Oryctolagus cuniculus: one gene and its partners. The protein of the gene in region 2 purifies or fractionates together with the protein of the main gene of each other region. This does not show direct contact. Links are inferred from orthologs where the notes say so. Each region holds a gene or a part of one and is shown on either strand. Other genes may lie near its edges. The genes, in order: SLC27A2, SAAL1 and TMEM43.

The links.
Region 1: the proteins of SAAL1 (region 2) and SLC27A2 purify together in Homo sapiens (co-immunoprecipitation; 3 studies listed by BioGRID and IntAct, with this or other methods). This does not show direct contact. The link is inferred for Oryctolagus cuniculus from reciprocal best matches to the Homo sapiens genes SAAL1 and SLC27A2.
Region 3: the proteins of SAAL1 (region 2) and TMEM43 purify together in Homo sapiens (affinity purification with mass spectrometry; 3 studies listed by BioGRID and IntAct, with this or other methods). This does not show direct contact. The link is inferred for Oryctolagus cuniculus from reciprocal best matches to the Homo sapiens genes SAAL1 and TMEM43.

The regions. Positions count from the first base shown.
Region 1 is NC_091443.1:73,007,096-73,010,635, reverse strand, and holds the end of SLC27A2 (long-chain fatty acid transport protein 2), read right to left. Parts: intron 3,455-3,540; coding exon 3,324-3,454; intron 975-3,323; coding exon 798-974; 3' UTR 507-797; downstream 1-506. UniProt on the Homo sapiens protein: Mediates the import of long-chain fatty acids (LCFA) into the cell by facilitating their transport across cell membranes, playing an important role in hepatic fatty acid uptake.
Region 2 is NC_091432.1:48,224,827-48,228,473, forward strand, and holds part of SAAL1 (protein SAAL1), read left to right. Parts: intron 1-1,720; coding exon 1,721-1,780; intron 1,781-1,912; coding exon 1,913-2,028; intron 2,029-3,647. UniProt on the Homo sapiens protein: Plays a role in promoting the proliferation of synovial fibroblasts in response to pro-inflammatory stimuli.
Region 3 is NC_091441.1:113,066,388-113,070,134, forward strand, and holds the start of TMEM43 (transmembrane protein 43), read left to right. Parts: upstream 1-1,464; 5' UTR 1,465-1,713; coding exon 1,714-1,725; intron 1,726-3,747. Other genes in the region: CHCHD4 (mitochondrial intermembrane space import and assembly protein 40), read right to left, coding at 1,175-1,196. UniProt on the Homo sapiens protein: May have an important role in maintaining nuclear envelope structure by organizing protein complexes at the inner nuclear membrane. Required for retaining emerin at the inner nuclear membrane.

The DNA of each region.
Region 1 (3,540 bases), on a different chromosome or scaffold from region 2:
TTTTTTAATTTTATTTTATTATTTGAAAGGCAAAGTTACAGAGAGGCAGAGAGAGAGAGAGAGAGAGAGAGAGAGAGAGAGGTCTTCCATCCGCTGGTTCACTCCCCAACTGGCAGCAATGGCTGGAGCTGCGCTGATCAGGAGCCAGGAGCCCCCTCCGGGTCTCCCTCGCTGGTGCAGGGTCCTAGGAACTTGGGCCATCTTTTACTGCTTTCCCAGGCCATAGCAGAGAGCTGGATCGGAAGTCGAGCAGCAAGGACTTGAACCGGTGCCCATATGGGATGCCGGCAGTGCAGGGGGTGGCTTTACCTGCTATACCACAGTGCCAACCCCACCCCCATTTTTTCTTTTCTATTTTTTTTTTAAACTCAGAATTCTATAGTGAGTGGAACACCTGCCTGTGAAAACTTATTAAGGAGGTTGTCAAGCTTTGGAGTAAATGACAAAGGATTTTCATTTAGAATAAAGCCAGGAAGGAACATAAAAAACAGTGTCACGTCACATGCTGGTGTTCATCTACTTTATTTATTTAAAAAAATAATGCCCTCCCTCCAGCAAGCTCAGTTTGCAAATACAAACAGTAAGTGCACATTGGAAAATAATTATCTCTAAATCTTTTCACTTGCAAAGGTCTAGTTGTAATTTAAAAAGTGGTCCCTTGCTGGTATGCATAATTTCCTAATAAAAATAACTGAACGTGACAATCTTCGATTAAATTAAAGTTGAATTATATCAAATGGCTGTTCTAGGTCCATTCCATTTCTTTCTGGAACTAGACATTATCCTCTTGGAAATAGTCAGAGTTTCAGAGTTTTGTCACTTATGGCATTATAAATGTCCTGAGTCATAGGCACATACATTTTCGCTGTGTCATCCAAGAAATACAAGGTATCCTTGATGACTGCAGGGTTGAAGCCCTCCTCCATGAGGGTTACTTTGCGGTGTTTGAAGGTCCCAGTGATCTCAATGGCGTCCTGAAAGACATCACAGAACACACGTGAGGCTTGTGCTTGCAGTAGATGAGGGTTCAGGGCAGTGGAGGGCACGGGCATTTGGCATCTCTGGCTCAGGGATAGCTGCGAAATGAGCTGTTTTTTTCTTATTTAAAAAAATTTTATTACTATGTAATACTGTACATTCTGAGGGCCTAAGTGCAATATTTCAACACACACATGTAGCATAAACCAATGAAACCAGGCAACTAGTTTTTCCACTTCCTCGTCTTTGTGTTTGCAGCCTACTAGTTGTTTACAAAGCACATTGCTGGGAACTACAGTCATGCCAGGAACCCAGCACCTCTATCTGACCGCCTTGGTGCTCATTACTGATCCTCCCTCTGCCTTCCTCTTCTCTCTCTCCCAGCCTCTCGTAATCGCTATTCAAAGCTCAGGCCAATTTTTTATTTTAAAATTTCCACATACGAGGGAGAACATGTGGTATGTGTCTTCCTGTGGCTGACTTAGGGAGGTGAAAGTTTAGTGCTATCCATTCAGCCTGCTTTTAGAATCTCCACTAATGAGCCCGACTATCATGAGGTAGTTTTTCTTCCCGTAAAGCCTTAGGGTTGGAGTGGGTGCTTGGCCTAGCATTTAAGACACGACTTGGGATGCCCCTATCCTATATTGCAGGGGCCAGTTCACATCCCAGCTCCACTCCTGATGTCAGCTTCCTGTTAATGTGTACCCTGGAAGGCGGCAGGTGGTGGTTCAAGTACTTGTGTCCTGCCACCCGCATGGAAGACCTGGATTGATTTCCCAGTTGCTGGTTTCAAGTGAACCAGCAGATGGGCGCTCTGTCTCAAAGCTTTAGGATCACCTGTGGGGAGTGAAGGCTGTGGGGATGCTACCAGGGAGATTCCTGTGTATAGATTTTTGGAAAATTATTTTTCATTTTATTTGGAAGGCAAGGAGACAGAGATCATCCAACTGCTGCTTCAGTTCCCTAATTCCCTCCACAGCAGGGGGTTGGCCGGGCTAAAGCCTGGAGCCAGGAACTCAGTCTGGGTCTCCCACATGTGTGGCAGGGACCCCAACCCTGAGTCATCTTCTGCTGTCCCTCAGATTGTGCGTTAGATTGGAAGTGGAGCCAGGACTCAAACCAGGCACACTGATATGGGACGCAGGCATCCCAAGTGGCATCTTAACTGCTGCACCAAATGCCAGCCCCACTTGTGCGTATTTCTGAGCATAGGGGTGGCACCTGCTGCCTGGTAAGGCCCCGGACATTTTTAGAATATCCTAACTAATGGTGGGAATAAGAGGATAGAGCATTCACGCTCAGACAACCCTGTTTTCTCAGTCTGTTTGCTGATAGACTGAAGACTGGTTAAGACTGGTTTTTCCTTCACGGTTACTGGAAATATCCAAATACCCCTTTTTCATGTTTGTTTACCATTTGGTTGCAAAGTAAATGTCAGTGTTCCATTAACATCAATAGAAACAACCCTATACAGCCAAACAATACTTGGAATCCTAACGTTCCTCCAGTCTGTGGCTGTAGTATCGAATCAGAGCAGAGAGTCTGAGAGTAAGAGTGTTAAACTAACAAAAGGGTTGATGTTTGAGGAAGGAAAAGAATGTCTCTAGAAGAGATAGCTAGGTCTTCCTAGTTCCAAATGGTTAATGATGCCCAATTGTACTTCACACCACCTGGTGGGCAGCCCATATCAGAATGCCCCAGGGAGTCCTGGCTGCCAGGCTTCCAATCCAGCTCCCTGCTAATGTGCCTGGGGAGGCTGCGGAAGATGGCCCAAGGACCTAGGCTGCTGCCACCAACTGGGAGATTAGGATGGAGTCCTGGCTTGGCCCTGCCCACGCTATTGTGACCATTTGGGGAGTGAACTAGTGGGTGGAAGATCTCTCCCCCTACTCTTCCCTTTCAACTCCTGTGTGTGTCACTCTGCCTTTCAAATAAATAATAAATCTTAAAAACAAAAAAGAAACTTGACACCATGAAAACGTGGAACACGTAGTGGCTTTTTCCATTCTTTGAAACTAGAATCAACAAATCCAGTATGGTCAGAGCGTTTCTTTGTGAAGTGTCTGTCATACCTCTCCAGACAGACTTTGTGAGCTCTTGGCCTGCTGCTAAATGAACTGGCTGAACTGGCAAGGAAGGGATTAGGATTAGGATTGGGTTTCTGGTGACTGTATTTCCTGATGTTTCTGTCTTCTGATGTAGATTTATGCCCCTCCTTTCTGAGCTTCCTGGAAAGGGTGGTGAACAATTTGGCAAAGGCAGTCACAAAGCAGGGAAGGGAGGTTGCTCGCTAAGGGACAGAGGTCTCCAAGAGGGAAGAGAATTGAACTGGACAAGAGGCCCACCTGGATTCTGAGAAACCGGGGCCTTGCATAACTAGGCAGGTAATCAACAACGTGCTGAAAGAGTTTCTTTCCATCAAATTCATGGTTTTCTTTCATCTTGATTGAGGCCATGCCAATTCGACCCTCATGACCTGAAAGGAAAGTGAAAAAAACAATGAGCTATTTGTTTTGCTTATGAGGCTTTGCTCCTTTAAAAAACTGTGGACTGAGACAACAC
Region 2 (3,647 bases):
TATATTTTGTCCCTAATATTCTCTACCAAAAGCCTCATAAATGTTAAGTTCATTGAAATGCTCATCTTAAAATTAATTTGGAACAATTTATATGGTGAATAGGGTGTAAATTTGTTCATTTTTGAACAGCTGGGCATTCTCTAGTCAGACTGAAAGATGTGCATAAGCTATGACCCATCCCTGTTACATAGATACATATATGGGGAGGGCAACCTCACGTGCTCAGCAGCATACTCAGACAAGGTTATAGGTGCATTCCTTGAGATGGCCCCAAACTGGAGTCAGCCCAGATGTCCGACAGCAGTAGGCTAAAGAAATAATGTTATGTTCACATGAGGAGCCTGTGCAGCAATGAATGAAAGAACAGCTACAGGAACACCTGGATGGAGCTAACATGTGTGGTTTTATACAGAGAAATAAGACTCATAAGAATACACCAACATATGTCTAAACATCACACTGGACCCAATCAGTAGTACAATTATGTGTCAGCAAACACAAAGATGGAAAGATAGGCTGGCGCCGCGGCTCACTTGGCTAATCCTCTACCTGCAGCGCCACATCCTGGGTTCTAGTCCCGGTCAGGGTGCTGGATTCTGTCCCGGTTGCTCCTCTTCCAGTCCAGCTCTCCGCTGTGGCCCGGGAAGGCAGTGGAGGATGGCCCAAGTGCTTGGGCCCTGAACCTGCATGGGAGATGAGGAGGAAGCACCTGGCTCCTGGCTTCGGATGGCGCAGTTCGCTAGCCGCAGTGCACCTGCCGCAGCGGCCATTTGGGGGGTGAACCAACAGAAAAAGAAGACCTTTCTCTCTGTCTCTCTCTCTCTAACTCTGCCTGTCAAAAAAAAAAAAAAGATAAATAATAACCAAAGGCATTTTTAGGAGAAAAATGCAGTATGTAATTTATTTCATATAAACTTTAAAAGCAAAACCAAAACTATATAAAATGTAAAAGTATGTGTCGCTCCCCCTCTTCGTGGAGGAACGACACAGGACCCTGCGCTGTTCTTTCGTCTGCTCGGCCCTCCCCGGGTTTGCTGCTGGTTCTTCCCGGGTTGGCTACTATCCCTTCCACCTCCGTGGAAGGGCAGTTCCCCCTGGCCACATTCCCCACTTCCGCAGGGGAGCGGCACACCGCCGGCCGGCTCTCTGGGGGCTGCACAGGTGTTCCCTTAGATGTTCCCCTTAGATGTTCCTCGTGCATGCCGTCTCTCTCCTCCTTTATAGTCCTCCTCCGCCAATCCTAACTCGGCTGCCCACACACCGAGTACGCTGCTCTCCAATCAGGAGCAAGTCCTACAGTTTATTGGTTGAACTGGAGGCAGCTGTGCGGAAGCTGTTTCCTCCTCTCCCAGCGCCATATTGTGGGAGAGCAGATGCATAGAATAAGTCTTAATTCCAGTAACTCAGTCCAGTCCGGGCTGCTCCCCACAGTATGGAGCAAAACAAAGAAATGATTGCTAGATAAGTCAGGATGGCATTCATTTCTAGGTGGGAAAGAGAATGGTAACTTGGAGTGGACACATTGGGGCTATGCAGATGCAACACTGTTGCATTGTTCTGTTTGGTAGAAATGTGAATGCTTTCTAATTGTTGATTATAGATTTGTATTTTACAGGCTTTTCTACATGTATACAGTATTTCACAAAAATATTTAAACGAAAACTCTGATGTTTGAAATCAGGAAAGTAGGATTTAAGGCTTAACTCTGTTGTTTTTGTAGGGAGGTGTTACTACACTGTTTATATGATTCAGACCCTCCTACTCTGCTGGAAACAAGCAGGTATGCTTTTCTGTTTTTATGAATTCTTTACCCCATAAAAACCCATGGGGAATCTAGGAAAATAAATCTTCATTCTCAAATGTCCTTTACTTGTTTTTTTGAAAAGATACTAAACTCACATTTATCATATAGGTTGTTGCTTACTTGCCTTTCCCAGACAGAAGTGGCCAGTGTCTGGGTTGAAAGGATCCGGGAACATCCAGCTATTTATGATAGCATTTGCTTCATCATGTCAAGTTCAACAAATGGTATGTACATGTAATCTAGAAGAAAATATTCTAGATTATGTTTGGAAGCTATATAACTTTCTAGAAGTCACTTTTTAAAAAGAAGGTCAGGGGCTGATGTGGTGTAATGGGTGAAGCTTCTGCCTGCAATGCCAGCATCTCTTATTGGTGCCAGTTCAATTATGTGTGCCTCTACCACCTACATGGGAGACCTAAATGAAGCTTTGGTCTCCTGGCTTTGGCCTCGCCCAGTCCTGGCCACTGTAGCTATCTAGGGAGTTAATCAGCAGATGGAAGATCTCCGTCTATCCTGCTGTTCTTCCCTCCCTTCCCTCCCTCCCCTCCCCTCCCCTCCCCTCCCCTCCCCTCCCCTCCCCTCCCCTCCCCTCCCCTCCCCTCCCCTCCCCTCCCCTCCCCTCCCCTCCCTTCCTTCCTTCCTTCCTTCCTTCCTTCCTTCCTTCCTTCCTTCCTTCCTTTTGAAAGAGTTACACAGAGAAGAGAGGCAGAGAGAGACACAGAGAGGTCTTCCATCCCCTGGTTCACACCCCAGTTGGCCACAACTGCCGGAGCTGCGCTGATCAGGAGCCAGGAGCTTCCTCTGGGTCTCCCACATGGGTGCAGGGGCCCAAGCACTTGGGCCATCTTCTAATGCTTTCCCAGACCATAATGGAGAGCTGGATTGGAAGTGGAGCAGCTGGGACTTGAACCGGCACCCATATGGGATGCCGGTGCTTCAGGCTAGGGCATTAACCTGCTGTGCCACAGCACCGGCCCCTCCTGCTGTTTCTATAACTCTGATTTTCAAATAAATATTTTTTTAAAGATTTATTTATTTATTTACTTGAAAGACAGAGTTACAGAGAGGCAGAGTGAGAGAGTGAAATCTTCTATCCACTGGTTCATCCCCCCCAAGTAGCTGCAACAGCTGGTGCTGAGCTGATTCGAATCCAGGAGCCAGGAGCTTCTTCTGGATCCCCCATGTGGATTCAGGGGCCCAAGGACTTGGGCCATCTTCTACTGCCCTCCCAGGCCACAGCGGAGAGCTGGATCGGGAGAGGAGCAACGGGGACTCGAACTGGTGCTCATATGGGATGCTAGTACTACAGACGGCAGCTTTACATGCTACACCACAGTGCCAGCCCCCTCAATCTTTTTTTTTTTTTTCAAAAAAAAAAAAAAAAAAGGGCAGATGTGTGGCACAGCAGTTAAGATACCACTTGGGACACCCACTTCCCATATTAGAGTACTTGGTCAAGTCTCCATTCGGCTTCAGATCCAGTTTCCTGACAAGTGATGGTTCAAGTACTTGGATCCCAGACACCCATGTGGAAGACCTGGATGGAGTTCCATGCCCCTGGCTTTGTCCTGGCCCAGCTGCTCATCCTGGGCATTTGGGGAGTGAATCAGTAGATGGAAGATCCGTTTCTATGTTCCTGCACCCCATGTTTCCCTCTGCCTTTCCAAAAAAATGAATAAATAAATAAATAAAACTTAAAAAAGGCTAAGTGAAAGAGAAAGGTTTTGTTTCATTTTTTAAGATATACTTGTTCATTTGAAAGTAAGAGAGAAGTAGACAGAGATCTTCCATCCTCTGGTTAACTCCCCAACTGGCTGTGATGGCCAGGGCTGAGCCAGACTGA
Region 3 (3,747 bases), on a different chromosome or scaffold from region 2:
GCCCTGTTGGAAAAATGGCACCAACAGTCTGCTCCACAGAAGGCTGTCACAAAGCTTCAAAACGGAAGCTGCACGGAATAGGGAGCACAATGAAAGTGAGGTATGCCCGCGGTCCTTGGAGAGGGAGTGGGACAGCTTTCGGGTCCAGGGAAGCAGCCGTTCTACACCCAGGCAGAAGTCCCGCGGTAAAGACCCGGCATATTTCTTTATTCATTTTCGTTTCTAACATTTTACTTATTCTCATCTACTTGACAGAGAAAGGTCTTCTTCCATCCACTGATTTCCCAAATGCTGGCCAGAGGGGGCCAGGCTCACACCAGGAGCCAGGAACAGCCTCTGGGTCTCCCCCCAGGGGGTGGGCAGGGGCCCAAGTACTGTAGCCACCAGCCGCTGCCCCAAAGGCGCATTAGCAGGGGGCTGGATGGGTGGCCACCCTCTCTGGGCCTCAGGACCCATAAGTTAAACTGAAGGAGCAAAGCTGTTCAAATTTCTGTCTGAGTGCTAACTCCACAGCTGTGCATCCGCTGCAGCCCACCAGCCGCTCCCCCGGCACCGAGAACGCGCCGCCGAATGAATGAGGCCCGGCGCCGGGGGCCTGGCGGGGTCGGGGGTCCGCTAGGGCACAGGGACCCCGGTAGTGTGGCGAGGCCCAGGGACGGCTCTGGGGGGCAGAGCAGCAGGGCCTCCAACCCCGGCCCCACCGGCTTGGCCGACTCACCTGCGTCTCGGTTTACGGCTCCATAAACGCAAGCGCAGAGCTAGGAATATGCTCCAACGGTGCAGGGGGCGCTTCCCGCGCCCCGACACCGCACACGCCTCCGTGGAGGGCCCGCGCGGGGCGCGAACAAGTCGCCGCAGCACAATCCCACCTGCGAGCCCAGCGCTCGCTTCCCGGGCGCCCTCCGGGCCTGGTCTGCGGCTCTCCCACGTGCAGGCCCCTCCGAGCTCCGGGTTCAGGCTGCACCGTGACCTTGGACCAGCCCCGTTCTTCCCAGAACCCCGTTTTCTCTTCTACACAACTCCATGTGGCGACCCCGCCGCCCGGTCAGCCCCGAGGTGGGCACCCCCCGACCGCGCCTCGGGGAGCCCTCGCCGGCCGCGGGGGCCACAGGGGCCACAGGGGCCGCAGGAGCCCGCGCGTCTCCCACAGGCCGGCGCAGCCCGCTCTCCCTACCTTCCTGCCGGCAGTAGGCCATGGCTGCGGCCCGGCGACTCGACCTCGCACCGGCGGCGGTGGCGACGGTCACGCCGTGACCTCCCTCTACTCAGGCAGGGCAGACAGACGGCTGTGAGGCCCGCGCAGACCCGCCCCCTCCAGGCCTGCCCGCCGCGCGCCTGCCTCCGCGCCCTCGCAGCGCCAGCCCGGCTCTCCTCAGCCAGAAACTACATTTCCCAAGAGCCTGAGGGGCCCCTTGGCTGCCCTCCAGAAGGTGGGAACTACATTTCCCAGGAACTCTTTGCGGCGCGCAGGCGTGCCAGTGAATCTCGGGCGTATTGCTACTTTGTGAAGAAAATGCCCGCCGCTGGTTTAGCTGCGCGCATGCGCAAAAAAGTTGGGGTTCCCTCGGGGCGGGGACTGCGTAGCAAGTTGCTCCTGATCCCGGGCTCCACGCGGAGTTGTTCGGCGGTAGGGCAGCGAAGAGGCCGCGAGACTCTGCACTCCGATCGTCCTCCGGACCAGAGCGAGTGGGCGGCCGCGACTCGGGCCCCAGCATGGCGGCGAATGTGAGTGCCTCCCGGTCGGCCGGGCCACACCCAGGCCGCCCCGTCTCCCTGCTGGCCGCCCGGGTCTGAGGGGCTGTCCGAGCCTCGTCGCAGTCTCGTCCGCTGTCGCTCGGCCTGTCCGTCTTGCTCCCGTCTCTGTCCGCTGTCCTCGGCGCGGCTCGCCTTGCGGGGCGCGGCTGCGGGGAGCGGGGCTCGGGAGGGGTCGCGCCCGCCTCGGCTTCTCCCAGGCCCCGCCTGGCTCCTCGGGGGTCTGAACCCCGCGGCACTGGAGAGCCGGGCGCGGCCTCGGGGAGGGGGCCGGTCCGTCGCGGGGGCGGGAGGCGGATCCCGCCCGCGGGGAGCTGTCCAGCGAGGGACAGACCGGGCAGAGAGCGAGACCCCCGCCCAGGGGCTGCGATGCCGCAGAGGGGCCCGGGCCGGGCGGGGAGGGCTGCAGAGGAGAATCGCGTCCCTCGGCCCGCCCTCCACTCCCCTCCCCTCCGCTCCCCTGCGCTCCCCTCCTAGCGGATTTGGTCGGAGGGGCCCTGGCCGGGGATGGCCTTCAGGGCTGCCAGCCTCTTTGCAACCTACAGAACATTCATTCAACAAACCTCGCCCTCCTGCCGGGGTGTCGGCTGTGCGAGAAGCTGGTGACTCACTCCCTTGCTCTGTGGAGCCAGCTCCAGCACCCTGCCAGCCCAGACCCGCCCTCCCGGGCCTGTCACTCTCTCTTGCCAAGGCTACTGCTCTCCCCAAAGGGACCCCGGGAGGCCAGGGTTTGTGTCGCCCCTTGCCCCTGGCACAGTGCCCTAGAAAAGGCGGGCGGAGGACCGCCAGGGCAGACGGTTCCAGGAGACCCGCCTGGCCCTGCAGCAGGCGGCGCCGCCATCCATGGAGTTCACAGATGGGGAATTTGCAGAGCAGGGGAAGGGACCTGCCCAGGGTCTCACGTCCACCCTGGCGCACACCAGGACACGGGAAGGTGCTGAGGACTCAGGGAGACCTGGGGGCACACCCGCTCTGTAGCTGTGTGGCCCTGCGCTCGCTGGATCTGTGTTTCTTCACCAGCTCAGCACAGAGCCTGTTCCCAGCACCGAACAGCAGGTGGTTCTCACAGCCTTAGCGCGCCTGGCCCGGGTGTGTCACCAAGAAACGGGGGTACCTTTGGGCCGCCTCTGCCGCCAGGCTCTTGCTGATCTGCAGAGCTGGGGACACGTCGATGGCAGCCACCAGGACTTTGTCGCGCATCTTGCTACTTTGTGGAGAAAATGCCCGTCGCTGGTTTAGCTGCACGCATGCGCAAAAAAGTTGGGGTTCCCTCAGGGCGGGGGAAAGATCTGAAGAGTGGGGAGAGGGCAGCATTCGCTATGACAGTAACTGTCCCTTGATGAAGGTAGTGACCCCTTCTGCGTTTCCTAAGTGAGTAGGCGGGGGGGGGGGGGGGGTGGGGGGTCAGAGAAGCAGAGCAACTCACCCAAGGTTGCCCAGCAGCCGACCGGCCAAGCAGGCGCTGTGAGTCCTTGTTCCCACCACTTGTTCAAGCAGCTGAGCCTGGAGTGCCCGAATGTGTGTGTGTGTGTGTGTGTGAGTGTGTCACTGGGAGGAGCTCATTTGCATACCTCCTCCCTGCCCCTCCTGAGTGTGGAGTGTGGGAAATTTGGTTCAGAACCTGGGCTGGGTGCTGGGTGTGTCTTGTCACTACCCACCTCCCTCCAGCCTGGCAGGGAGCCTCCTGGGCCTCTCTTCCTTCCCTCCAAGGCCCTCCTGGAGCCCTTGATGCTGGCCACGGGGTGGCCCAGGAGGAAGCCATGCCTGCAGCTGGCACCCAGCGTTCACCTCACATTTCAGCCCCAGCACTGAGTGACACAGACGTGAGCTTCGTGGTAGAAAAATCCAAAAGGCCGTGAGATCTGGGCAGACGCCGAAACTGCTGAGACTTGGTTTTTCTCACCGGTGAAATGGGGCATAGTGAGTGTCTGTCCCCCGGATCTTGCCCACACCTGGCCCATGGTAGCCTGGCAGGTCTGCATCGCCATCCTTACC